Neodiprion lecontei: one gene and its partner. The main gene of each other region encodes a partner of the protein of the gene in region 2 in a complex. Links are inferred from orthologs where the notes say so. Each region holds a gene or a part of one and is shown on either strand. Other genes may lie near its edges.

The links.
Region 1: the proteins of myosin heavy chain, muscle (region 2) and myosin light chain 1 are in contact, whole or in part, in a crystal structure (PDB 5W1A), measured with the Drosophila melanogaster proteins. The link is inferred for Neodiprion lecontei from reciprocal best matches to the Drosophila melanogaster genes Mhc and Mlc1. Residues at the interface, in NP_723999.1 of Drosophila melanogaster: Arg25, Ile26, Ser29, Asp718, Lys720, Met721, Arg722, Gln724, Ile725, Pro728, Arg776, Leu780, Gly781, Ile783, Met784, Ser785, Trp786, Met787, Gln788, Ala789, Trp790, Ala791, Arg792, Gly793, Tyr794, Leu795, Ser796, Arg797, Lys798, Phe800; in NP_001287569.1 of Drosophila melanogaster: Phe14, Val15, Val18, Met19, Asp33, Arg36, Ala37, Asn39, Leu40, Asn41, Pro42, Thr43, Leu44, Glu78, Gln79, Gly80, Cys81, Asp84, Phe85, Glu87, Cys88, Leu89, Lys90, Leu91, Tyr92, Asp93, Lys94, Glu96, Ala103, Glu104.

Annotation. Positions count from the first base shown.
Region 1 is NC_060260.1:11,421,263-11,429,162, forward strand, and holds the start of myosin light chain 1, read left to right. Parts: upstream 1-1,799; 5' UTR 1,800-1,921; coding exon 1,922-1,924; intron 1,925-2,292; coding exon 2,293-2,320; intron 2,321-4,080; coding exon 4,081-4,389; intron 4,390-5,581; coding exon 5,582-5,668; intron 5,669-6,580; coding exon of another isoform or gene 6,581-6,606; exon of another isoform or gene 6,607-6,635; intron 6,636-7,191; exon of another isoform or gene 7,192-7,223; intron 7,224-7,579; coding exon 7,580-7,635; 3' UTR 7,636-7,900.
Region 2 is NC_060264.1:2,629,456-2,634,559, reverse strand, and holds the start of myosin heavy chain, muscle, read right to left. Parts: upstream 3,002-5,104; 5' UTR 2,816-3,001; coding exon 2,609-2,815; intron 1,075-2,608; coding exon 931-1,074; intron 869-930; coding exon of another isoform or gene 725-868; intron 97-724; coding exon 1-96. UniProt on the Drosophila melanogaster protein: Muscle contraction.

The sequences.
Region 1 (7,900 bases), on a different chromosome or scaffold from region 2:
ACCAGCTTTTTGCACAAGATGATCGAGGAGCTGGAAGAGAATGGCGGAGCTAAGGGAAGTTCGCCTATTCACGGAGACAGGGAAGGCATAGCGACGTGGGAAGAATCGGAAGAAAAATTCATACGAATAATCGATGGACCAGGGTACGACAGAGATTCCGGTTTCCATTTAGAAGACCAGGAAGAGCAGCTTGATCAACACTCCTTGGAGATCGGCGAGGCGACCGATTCTCAAAACGAGAAGCTTGAGGCTTCTTTGTCTCACGGTCGGCATGTTTTCATTCAAGAAGAGCCAATTTCGCCTGAGGAAAATTTCACCCAGCCTAGGGATCTTTTGGACAATTGCACGGAAGAAGAACCTTACTGGTGCACAGCTGGGTTGATTACAGCTGTTGCCACGCCTCCGATCCACAGAGTTTTTACCAGCAGAACTACAATTATTGGAACCGAATCCAGGACGTCAGCTATCGAGCACACGCTCCAGGGAAAGACAACGGAAGCCTCCGTCATCGAGTCGGTTTCCGTTGCTGAAAATGGTGAGGACGAGTTCCAAGATAAACGTGCACGCTCCGAGGGAAAATTAAAGAAGAAAAAATCATTTGGACAAAAATTGAGGAAGTTTTTCTCAAGATTTAAACGGGATAAAGACTCCTAAGCCTTAATCATTCGTGCGTGGATGTTTCTTTTTTTGTTAAAGAATACAATTATTTGTCTAGTAATTTTTTGCTAAATACTTTGATGACCAAACCCACGCACACGTTGAACGTTGAGTTACTTTTGTGAAACTCGCGAAGATCGCGGCATAACTTTGAAAAACAGGTACAAATTTTCTCAATTTAAAGTTTCACCGGCTTCTGTAACAGCGGTGAAACTTTTCGTAGTGCGTGATTTGTGGCACAAATTGTACACGGATGATCTGATACACGTAGAGTAAAGTGTGTATTGTACGATGTTGTGTAAAAATAAAACATTTCAATAGAACCACGCAGGTATTCTTATTATATTTTTTCAATACATCGGTACGCTCGTATACACGCATTTTGTACTGTATTATATAATACAGACTGTCTGAAATGGAATAGCGATAGTCTGACTATACAAATATTAATAGAACTTCTTTAGTGTAATCTCATGGGTTATAGATATTCGACTGAGAAAACTGAACCCCGACTTACTATCATATTTGAAAAAACTCTGTGGAAGTGTACATATTTTTGTTCACTAATTGCAAAAATGAAGAATCGTTATAATTTTACTGGTAAAATTGCCGTTTTTAATTCTTATCACAGTGGCCCTGATACTTCAACTGAAATTTTATTTTACGGCATCCCGACTCTTGCGTAATCTTCCGTGCAATATGCGAATCACTAGAGTGAGTCATTCCGAAACTGAATTACGTAGTAATATTCAATTACTTGAACAATGGTCAACAATACAATTATGAAATCGAAAGGCGAGACTTGAAATGGATGTCTGCATTTTTTTCCGATAATTTACAAGTGTCTAATCGCACAGTCGTTCGCCATAGTCGGAAAATTCCGTCAGGGGTAATATTCATTTGAAGTACGGGAGTGCTCGATGGGGGCTCCAAGTATTTTGAGTCGAGATAATCCGGGAGCTGAAAATCATGAAGGAGAACGGACCTGGCAACCCTGACACTAAAATACAATAGTTAAAAACCATTTATCGTAACGCGTAACACAGTTTCGGCTCTGAGTCGGTAAACTCTTTTCGGAATGCCACGTTGCCAAAGTTAGATACAGAGACGTTTTTGAGGCGAGATCTTTACGATTCTCATATGTCGGTCCGTCGGAGCGCCATCTGTATTAATAAAATGAATCCGCACGGTGCCTCCTGGTCCCACTTCTGGTTCAAACTTCGTTCAGGGAACATCCAGGAGCCGTCACACATACCAAACAGCAATGGTGAGTAGGACTTCTGATGAGGAGATCCGTTTTAAGCCTCAGATTTATAACAACGTTCGCATTTGAATACCGAATGAATAATAATTTCGTCACGAATATTAAACTAACGTTTTATCGCCCAAAGAAAGACGTATCCTCATCCGCATGCAAAATTATTTTAATTACCCGCTATAATACCGAATATCGAATATTAAATTAATTAACTTGAGCATTCAAATTTCGGATACAACAAAGTTGTACATTGTCATCGGAAATGAACTCTGCATGAGGTGATAATTGTGGAAAAAATAGGTGACTCGTCATAAGTTCATTGCAATCGCATAAAATGGTCTTCGGTTATAAACCCAATACTTTTTCTTTATTTACAGGCTGATCTCAGCTCAAAGGACGTCGAAAGTGAGTAAATTCATCTGCACGTACATACCGAAACACATTATACACACACTTTCACTTAGATCTTTTTTTCAAAACATGATATGAAAGACATAAAAAAAGAGAGAAAAGGAAGAGTAAAATCAGACCAAAGTTAGGAGAAAAAGAAGTGACGACGGTCCAATCAAATTTCGCTCCCTCTATTCTGGAAAGTGTTTTCTATCACCAGCGGGAATCGTGTCATACAGTGATTAAAAAACGTATTAAAATTGTTTAGCGATTACAATGTCCAACCTGCATCGATAACACAGGTAAAAAATCATTTGACAACGACCTGAGATCGATAATCGAAACGTCACCTAACCCGGAAAATAAATCTAAAAAGTCGACCAAGTGATTGAAAAGTTCTAAAGTGAAATGGAAAAAAATAAAATAAAAAACAATAAACAAAATAAACGAATGATTGATAAAATTGGTTCTTCGTAACGTGATTGAAATAAAAATAGTTGTAATCACGAAAATTAGAAATAATAATAATAATAATAATAATAATATCAAAATTGCAAATAAAAATCGCGACGTTATATTACAAATGTAAGAGGTATTTCGGTTAGTTTGAAATTTTCAAATTGATGTATTTAATCGCGAGAAAAATGCTGAAAATTCATACACTACCTACAGAGATTACGCAATAGATGGTTGGTACACATAATTGGTGAACATCGGGGTGCCCGGATTCTGTTCTAATTAGGGAACGCGTGGTGTACACGAACGCCGAAAATAGTTCGGGTGCTGTTCTTATATGGCCGGGGGGAAACTTGAGCCAGGCGGAGGCTCCTGTTCGCACGAGGTTCCGATACTCGAGTCTAAACATAGGCATTCGATGTTTTCGAACGAGCTCTGCCAATGAATTAATATAACTTATAGAACGCTCTCCGCAAGCGTTGGACCTCGATTTCTATATTTTTTTCCTAAAAATTATCGCCAAATTAAACGCGCATGCGGGAACGAAATAATTAACCGAGTATACGAAAGCAGACTTTTGGGGAAGAGCAGCGGCTATGGAAACGCTGGAAACGGTTTTGGGCGATAATGGTCACAGGGCCTGTTCCATATTACGTGGCACCCAGTTTCAGTTCTATAAATAACAATTTTACAGAGGTGCTTTGAATACTTGTGAATATAGTCCGATGCGTAGGTTTCGCGTGTCTGACCCTCGGTTATAAGACAAAATATGTATTTTTATCGTTTTCTCAAAATCTCAGGCCTGTCGGATAGACGAATCTGTATAAAACGATCCGCGTCGCGGTGATTTTGTATTACGAGTTGAACTTTTATAGACGTCCTGAGATAGATCTTCGATAGTTTTCTAACGGTAGAGGAATTTTTTTAATAAATCCGTCATTACGGTGAATCTGCATTTGTGCATCTAACATCGACATTTTGCACACTTGAAATAGAAAGTTCATACATTTAGCTGAGACAAACAAAAAAGGAAGAAACTTGAGAAACTTTCGTCAAAAACAGCATGATGAAGAAGTTGTAAACAGAAAAAGTCTACTCTGGCAATTCTTTACACAAATATTGTCCGTGTGAGAAAACATTTCCGACTTATAATTATTAAAAATTATGAATATTTCGGTTTTCTTTTCTTTTTTTTTTTAAGTTTATGGGAAGTGAATAATGTTTCAAATAAGCCGCAACGATCTTGAATATGGGCGTTTGAAAAAAAGACGCGACAATAATAAACATTTAGGGTTGAATAAAATGTGGGATAATTTCAGGGGCGGAATTCGCATTCTCCATCTATGATTTCACCGGTGAAAATACCATCGACGCTGTCGATCTGGGAAATGTTCTCCGTGCCCTGAACCTCAACCCGACGAATGCAACGATCGAGAAAATGGGAGGAACCAAGAAGAAGGGAGAGAAGCTGTTCAAGCTCGACGAATTCCTGCCCATCTTCAGCCAGGTCAAGAAGGACAAGGACCAGGGCTGCTACGAGGACTTCCTTGAGTGTCTCAAGCTCTACGACAAAGCTGAGAACGGCACCATGCTTGCCGCTGAGCTTTCCCACATACTCCTCACCCTTGGTGCGTTCATAGATTTTTCACGCACCGATGAAAACTTAATTTTTGTAGTAACTAGAAAATCGTATTGAAATGGGTATCGTTAAAATAACAGTTTCAATATTGTTGCAATTGAAAGAAAATTTCGTACAAATAACCGTGTAATGTGATCGAGAGGGTTGGAAATTCCGAATTTGAAAAGTTCTGATAGCACCAAATTCCGAATTTATTGGTGAGGAAACTTGAACTAAAGAAATCAAGCTTTTACGAAACATCGACGTTTCGAATGGTTCGAAAGCCGACGCTCGAAATTCCGAAAGTGCAAAGTTCTGAAAGAGCAGAATTTCAAAAGGACAAAATGCCGAAAGAGTATAACTCCGACAAGTTAAAGTTCCGAAAGTGCGAAAATGAGAAAATTTAACAATCTGACATACCGAAATTCCGAATGATCGAAGATTTTCAGTCAAGTGAATTTCCGGCTTGGTAAAATTTCACCAATTTAATCTCTCTTTGTTTTGGATCTTCGATATTTTTACATTCGGAATCCTGGTCATTTTCATTTACGGTCTTTCTGATTTCTTTCACCCGCTCGTTGAGTAAACTGCGTTGTGTGGGTATGTTTTAATTTTCGGAATGTTACTCTTTGTTTTGAAACTTTGTTTTTCCGAAATATTCGCTATCGGAACTTTACTTTTCGAAACTTACATCTGCCTTAAGTTGAATTTTCGGAATCTGGCACTTCGGAACTTTGAGCCGTCGGGTTTCCGACCATTTGAAACTTTGTTGTTTCTTCAAAGTTTGCATTTCTTCGCCTCAAGTTTCGCCACCAAATAATTTGGAATTAGGCACTTTCGGATCTTTTCAAATTTGGAACTTCAACCCCGCCCCAATATAATTATAACAAGGCAGCACTACATTTCTCGCGTTATTGCAACTTTGAGTGTGATTACTTAGTTTACTATACATATTTGTTCGGTTAAATTAGGCCTGGACATCGTTGCTTGACAATATATGGTGAAAGTGACGATAATGAACAAGGATAGTAACACGTACTAGATTTTCTAGTTTACATATTTCGTCTAGTTTATACATAAATATTGAAGATGGTTAAAAACTGATGTACTCACGACTAAAAATTTAATTCGACGACAGTTTTATTGCGTTTCAAATTACCGGGAAAATCAAGTTATTTATCAAAATATATTTACGAACACAGGTGAACGTCTCAACGATGCCGAAACCGAGGAAGTACTCAGGGACTGCATGGACCCCGAAGATGAGGATGGTTTCATCCCTTACGCCCGTAAGTTATCTCGAAAGAACAGCACCACATCCCCTTACGTGTTTCACAATTTAGTAAAATGAATCCAACATTTTTGAAAGACCCTACTCTACCTTTGAATTGAACCGTAGAACACCAGCACGTGAACAGCAATTACCCACCGCCCCGATTGTAAATGACAAATATCAGCGATAGACATTTGAAGTGAAAATTTGATGAAAAAAATAATCTATTTTGTACGCAGATTAGAGTAAATTAGACGTATTATACATAGTTGAAAATGGATTATCCAGTTTGGATGATAACTGATATGTTTGCGAGAGTAAATACTTGCTTTTTCTTTTACACCCCCGTATCCCCCCTAAAACGACCCTTTACGAATTTGACGAGGAATAACGTACACACAGAAAAATTTCATTTGTTATGGTAACTAGAAAAATTCGGTAAAACAGGTATCGTTGCAAAAACTGTTTGAATATTGTTGGAATTACGAAAAACGAGGTCCGCGTAACCATTTTGCGCTATCGTTGATCCTTTTTTGGTTATTGCAACGCAAAATCAGTTTCTTCGGTTTACTCTACTTTTTTAATTAAATAATGCTTTAACGTCAATTTATTGTTGCACGAGCATTAAATTTTCGCAACAGTTGCAAGATAATATAGCAACAATGATCGTAATGAGAAAAAATAGTAACGGATAATAGACTTTCCGGTAACAGCTAAAAAATTAATTTTCATTTTCTACCTAGAACTATATTTTTCGACTGTGGTAAAAAATGAAAACAGTTAAGGACTGAGAGGTAACCGGAACTAAAAATTTCTCTCAGTGTAGAATTCTTCGCTGCAATAATGAGAATGACGAGTATGTAACGACCCTGATTAGATCCTGTAGGTATCCCTGTGTTTCATGTTCCCCTTCGTGGTTATTTTTCAGCATTCCTGAAGAAGCTGATGGTTTAAAATCAAGGAGCCACCACCAACCATGAATCGTGAGTAAACCCCGTCCTGATTTCCTCACATTTTTATCTTACATGTCTTCCTTTTTTGTATTACTTCTTACACAGCTTTACATGTACGCATTTTCCTTTCTCTCTCTCTCTCTCTCTCTCTGTATATATATATATATATGTATGTATGTATATATGTATATAGCTAATATCACCAGAGTCCGTCGCCTGGAAGATTCTCGCAGCACAGTGAATAACAATTCTGTCGTTTGTTTCATCGTAATATTTACAATGCTTATTTTATTTTTAATACGTATATTTTATATTCTTTTAACTAAGCAATGTGTAATTGTATTTTTATTCGCTTAGCAATGTCTGAAACTAAAATTTGGTCCTTCGAAAATTTGCGAACGTGCATTCTCTATTCTATGTTACAACGCTGCCGATTCGGCTACTGTTTACTATATTTGTTTACAATAATCAAACATGTCAATACTTAGCTGTGTAGCTTTACTTGCGTAAAAATGTTTTGCGTCAAATTGGAGTTTGTTACATTTGAATCAGCTCCAATGTATCATTATTTTTTCACTTCGTCTCTTCCTGCTTACGTATACGCTTTTCTTGGCATCGCTGTGAAACGAAAATATATCAGAATTTAATACATGTACAGATTGAGTATATTTCAATTCAAGCATAGCATCTATACGTGGATACGCGATAAATTTTATAATTATTCAGCGTTACGCAAGAGTATAAACCGATCTCAATTATAGCCTGAAATTGTTGGGTGATCAAATACATTTTTTTTTTTTTGTCTTTAGCTAAATTTAAATTAACTGCACGCTACAGTCAAATATAACGATGTTTCAGCTTCAATGAATATAATGATAAAAATCGCATAATGTTATAACTCTGCTATTAAATGTGATTGTAATTTTGGTGCTTATGTTCGATGTTTTTGATACAGTTTTCTTTCGCAATTGCAGCGTTCCTTCGTAGAATGTGTGACAGAGCAGCTGTCGACAACACCCCCGACCAATAAAGACCGAACGTCGTCAAATCCATCGCAAATTGACGTGGTAAAAGAGAAATACAAAATTTAAACGAAAACAAACATAAAAGGAGGAAGAATATGGTTAAAAATTGAATTAAAACGAATGATATCACACAACGAAATTACAGCAATTTTATATAATATTTTACACGCGCATAGTAATTATATTTTAAAGACGAACAAATTAGCGAAGGACAAAAACCCCAAGATTCGTCAAGGTGATTAAATTTCACCCGATCTTTGAGAACACGGA
Region 2 (5,104 bases):
ACGCCTCTTACCACGGTACAATTTGGCACAACGCTGAGTGTAGACCGGGTACCTCTTGTAAGGATTGATGGCCACACAGAACAGGCCAGAGTAGGTCTGCGTTTGGCGATAAGAAAAAAAAGAACGTAACAAACGTTAATGTGGGTATAAGCAAAAAATTCTCACAATCAATCATGGCGTGTATCGCTCAAGTTTATATACACGTTTCTTGCAATCTTTGGGTATGATAAGTTGCGTTTTCACGGTGTTATTGATTGGGAGTCTAAAGCATTTCGTATTTTTTCAAGTGATCGCGGTTGTCCCGTGGAAACGCATCTTACAGCGCGTCACCGAAAATTTCGGTGACGTGATTATGGGTTTATTAGTTGGGCATAAAACGAAATTCAGGTCTGGTCATAGAGAGGTGGTCAAGTCTGTTGATTCCACGACTCCCCGACGCCCTTGGACTCTATAAAATGTGAAAGACAAGAAATCGTCATGGGAAATACGGTACGGGCACGTCACTGTGCTTTCGACCGGATCCTCCCTCGGCTTTGGCCGCATGCTGCTGAAACGACTGGTAAGGATGTTAAAAGAACGGCGAGACACGTTCGGTGCTTTGGCCGGATCCTCGGTAACGAGCGATAAGAATGCAAAAGAGGGCAAGGTGAGGAAGCAAAGTGAAATGTGAATCATTCGGAAAACTTCGACAAGAGTGCCCGGTTCCACGGCTTGGATTCCTTACGTAGATCAGCTTGTGGTAGTAACGTTGCTTCAAGTTGTGCAGCACCGAAGCGTCGTTGAGGTATGTCAAGTTCGACATATCCTCGGCCTTCTCATACTTAGGTGGGTTAACCTGCTGCAGCTGGTCCTTCTTGAAGTCCTTAGTCTATATTCCATGGGGGGAGAAACGAAACTCCGTTAGTTGGTTCTCGAATCTTAACAACTTACGTATATCATTTTGTTGTAATATCGTTGTTTCAGGTTGTGAAGGACCGACGCCTCGTTCAGGAAGGTCAGGTCAGCCATGTCTTCGGACTTCTCGAATTTCGGAGGATTCACTTGGGCCACTTGCTCCTTGCGAAACTGTTTCGTCTGCGTGCGGTCAACGGTCGTTCTTTTATTATCAATGACATTGGAATGGTCAGGTAAGTCCTACCATTACTCCGTAAGGCTACGACGTTTCGCATCATTGAAAGATCAAGAAGATCCATAGGATAATACGCGTCGAGTTTCCAGCTCACGGCATGACTAATCTTATCCAAAGAGATCCCGAGGCATTCCGCGAACCTGGTAACGTCAATGTTGTAATTGGTCTTGAACATCTGCGAGTCGGTTTCGTTGATCGCGTGAATATTCGCGCGGTCATTGCGTAAGGCTATCCAGTGTCGCGGGGGTCTAAAAATACCCGGCCAGCACATTACGGCAATGCTGCAAGAAAGAGAGAGAGAGAGAGCGAGAAAGAGAGAGAGAGAGAGAGAGAGAGAGAGAGAGAGAGAGAGAGAGAGAGAGAGAGAGAGAGAGAGAGAGAGTGAGAGAGAAGGAGAGAAACGGAGCCGATCGAGGGGCTCATTTATAGTTCTCGTGCAAGTGAGTAGTAAAAGCCGCCGGTTGAGTCAGCCCTCCTCCCCTGTTAACGATCATCTCGTCATCCCGTTCCTCTCGTCCGGGTTTCTCGCTCTCCCCTAGTCTTCGGGCTAACAATAGCGCGGAGCATCGGAACGTAGGGTTTGCTGAACCATATATTGCGTAACCCATATATCTACTTTCACGTAAGGAATTTAGGATGTTGCTATAAATAAAAAACTGTGTGTTTTCAACGGCGTTCGTCGAAGATTCAAAGAATCGGAACGGATCGACGCGGACCACCGAGGCCACCGTTGTCCCTAGTTTACCGGAAGCTCTGATTATCCTCCTACCTAAGATCTATAAGCATCGTAAACATCTTTTCGTCGGTCCGTCGATCGTCGCATTCAGCTGTGGCGCAATGGTTTCGGTCTACTCGGCAACCGATTTATATAAACGCGTAAGCAAATACGAGTGCCCTGCGTATGGCCGTTGGCCAGGGCAGAGCTTCGTTAGTCCCGCGGGCTATTCTGTTCTTGAAATAGAGCTCGAGGAGCCCGATACGGCGACGCCGACGCCTAGCGTCCCTCACTGCCTTCTGCTTTTTATATATAGCGTATGACCCACACCCCCCTCCCCCCCTCCCCCCTGCCGCCGACGTCCTCCCTCAATACAAGAAAGCGGATATAGACGTTCGGAGCTTGCGTAGGGGGTGCGAAAAATGACACCCCGAATCGACGGTTACGGAACGCGGCAGCCATTGCGTGTTTCGATAACAGTTGAACCGCGTATGGCTTATTAATAGCGTAAGGCTACGTACTACGGATTTTGTTACCGGCTGTCCGGACTGCCGTTTTAGGCGAGGTAAACGGGGAAAAACAATGCGCTTTCAATGAGACAAAAACAAAAAAAAAAGAAAACATAAACTTTCTTCCAAGTACGACGGCACGCGGAGTTTCGAACGCGTTTGAGTATTCGAACGACTTTTTACTTCCTTCTTGACGCGTGTGGAAGGGAAACGGGATTCGGGGATAGGTGTTGTTTCGATTATCTGATTACACACCTCGCCGCCAGGCAGAGATACGGAAACGACGTCGCCCTTGGTGGCCTTGATCTCTCCCAGGACGTATCCCTCCTTTTCGCAGGGTACCCAGCATGCCTTCTTCGCGTCGTAGGGCTTCGTCTGGTCGATTCTCTTCTGCTCGAGGGACACGAAGAGGTATGGGGTTGGGTCGGGGTCCTCCCCCTCCTGCTTTATTGGCTTCGGCATCTTGTTTTCCTCTTTTTTTTTTTATTCGCTGTTACAGATGTCCCTTAATTAATTTGGGGCGTTTTTGTTTTTCTACTTTTTCACTAAGCAGTCGTCAGTTTCGTGCGTGTTTGGCGAGCGGCGGCGGACGGACTACTTCTTGCGGCACGGTCTGGTCGGCCCTGCGAGATCACACGTAACATGCTTACATATCCTGTACAACTTCCATGATTAGGTACGATATATGCTACAGGGTACGTGTTAACGGATAAAGTGTATTCGGGGGTGTGAAACAGTGTGCGTCTGTTTTTCTTGAGGAAGTATTTTTGGATTGAACTGGCATTCGGTGCCATCATACTCGTATCAGCTATGTTTTATCGCGCGAGTTTTTGGGTTTCAAAAAATATATAAAAAACAATCGAGTACGTATGAAAAGCACGGGTGTTATAATTAAATTTCGAGCGTTTAATTTTGCATCAACTCGTTTGACCGGTTTGGAATGCTGTCCTGTACTCCCTTGGAGCAATTCCAACCACCAATTCGAAGCAGACCCCTTTTCACCGCGTCTTTTAAACTTCCGCGTTACATTTCTCAATTCGAGCGCGATACATCCAGTCATATTGATGATCAAAAAACGAAAGATCAATTCGATTAATCTTCAAAAATTGACCCGTGACCATTGGTATTTAATCAAATCACCAAGCCGAGCTTCGTAAAATGAATTTCGAGTTGATAGGTGATAATCATAGAGCGATAAGTCAAGTTCCGAAGAATAGTTCCCCGGCCCGTAGGCTTCGCTGACGTAAGTTCTTCGGTTCCATAATACGACGTGCAATTCCGTTCCGAGGTTTTAAATAACACAATCGGCACATGCGCACACTCATTTATACTGCATAGGCAACAAGATACTCGGAGAAATGTTTCCCCTCGGGATATATAATATGACAAGGGTTTGAAATGGGATGCTTTCAGGGGTTAATCTGGATATCGTTAAGCTCCTCGTCCTCTTCGACTTAGGACCCGTTTATCTCAATTCACACACTCACACACGCATACACACACACACACACACACACACACACACACACACACACACACACACACACACACACACACACACACACACACACACACACACACACACACACACGCACAGAGTAGACTTGTACTCGCATGTATACGAAAAATGGCCGCGCACACACACACACTTCGTTTTTTTTATGGTATTTTTTATTTCCAATATTGCCATTATCCAAATTCGGGAATTTGATTTTGTCAGCTTCGATTCCCGAGTACCCCGAGCACAACATACGACAACTTTTAATTCACCGAAGTTGAAGATTGATTTTTACTGCTTGATCAAGTTGGTTAATATTCTCTTTCCTGCGTTTTTTTTATTTAAGAACCGAAATTTTACTCGGAAATTCTCGCCTGGGTTAATTTTTATATACTCGAAACAATCGACGAACAGCCGTAGAGTCCTTATCAAATCGTTGATATTTCGTTACGCACGTACAATATCCCTTTTATCGTACGACGATGTCACTCTCACTGTATTAATTTTCATGTACTCCTCCAGCCGTATTCAATTATTTATTTTCATGATTAACTTATTTATTTTCCTTGATCGTTTTTACTTCAATTTCGAACGAGGCCGAATATATATTCGTATTCTTGTATACGCGTACGTGTGGTGATGTGCTTACGCGTGTGTGTATAAAAAAAAATATTTCCAGCAAATTTTTATCTTTTATTATTATAATAGTATCAATTATTATTATTATTATTATTATTATTATTGTTGTTGTTGTAGTTTAATTTTTTTTTTCTCTCTCTTCAATCAAGTACGCGTCGGCGATTATTCTTTTTTATTTATATTATTTATTTATTTATTTTTTTTTTTTTTTTATAAATTTTTTCTATTCCTCAATTTTAGCGTGTATGTGTGGGTGAAATGGCAGAGTAACCGACGTGGTGCACTTACGTTAGAGAGCCGTTCTGTCGGGGGAAACTGTCGAACATCCCAATATAAGCGCGTGCAACGTGATCCTGGCTTGGTACGAAGCTGACGATTGGACGGTCGAGCTAACCAATCGGAGCCTACGTTAGTTCCTGGTCCAATCTACCTTTTTAGGCGGAGATGATACCAAAAGTGAGACAGGGGTACGGCGGAAAGCTCCGAGGAGGCGAACGCGCGCGCGCGCGCTTACTTAAAGTGAGATGAAAATAGACGAAGAGTGAGACGCTGGGAAGATTCGAAAATCACCCTATGACTATGGGTGGCTATCCCTTAATCGCGGGACTCGGTGG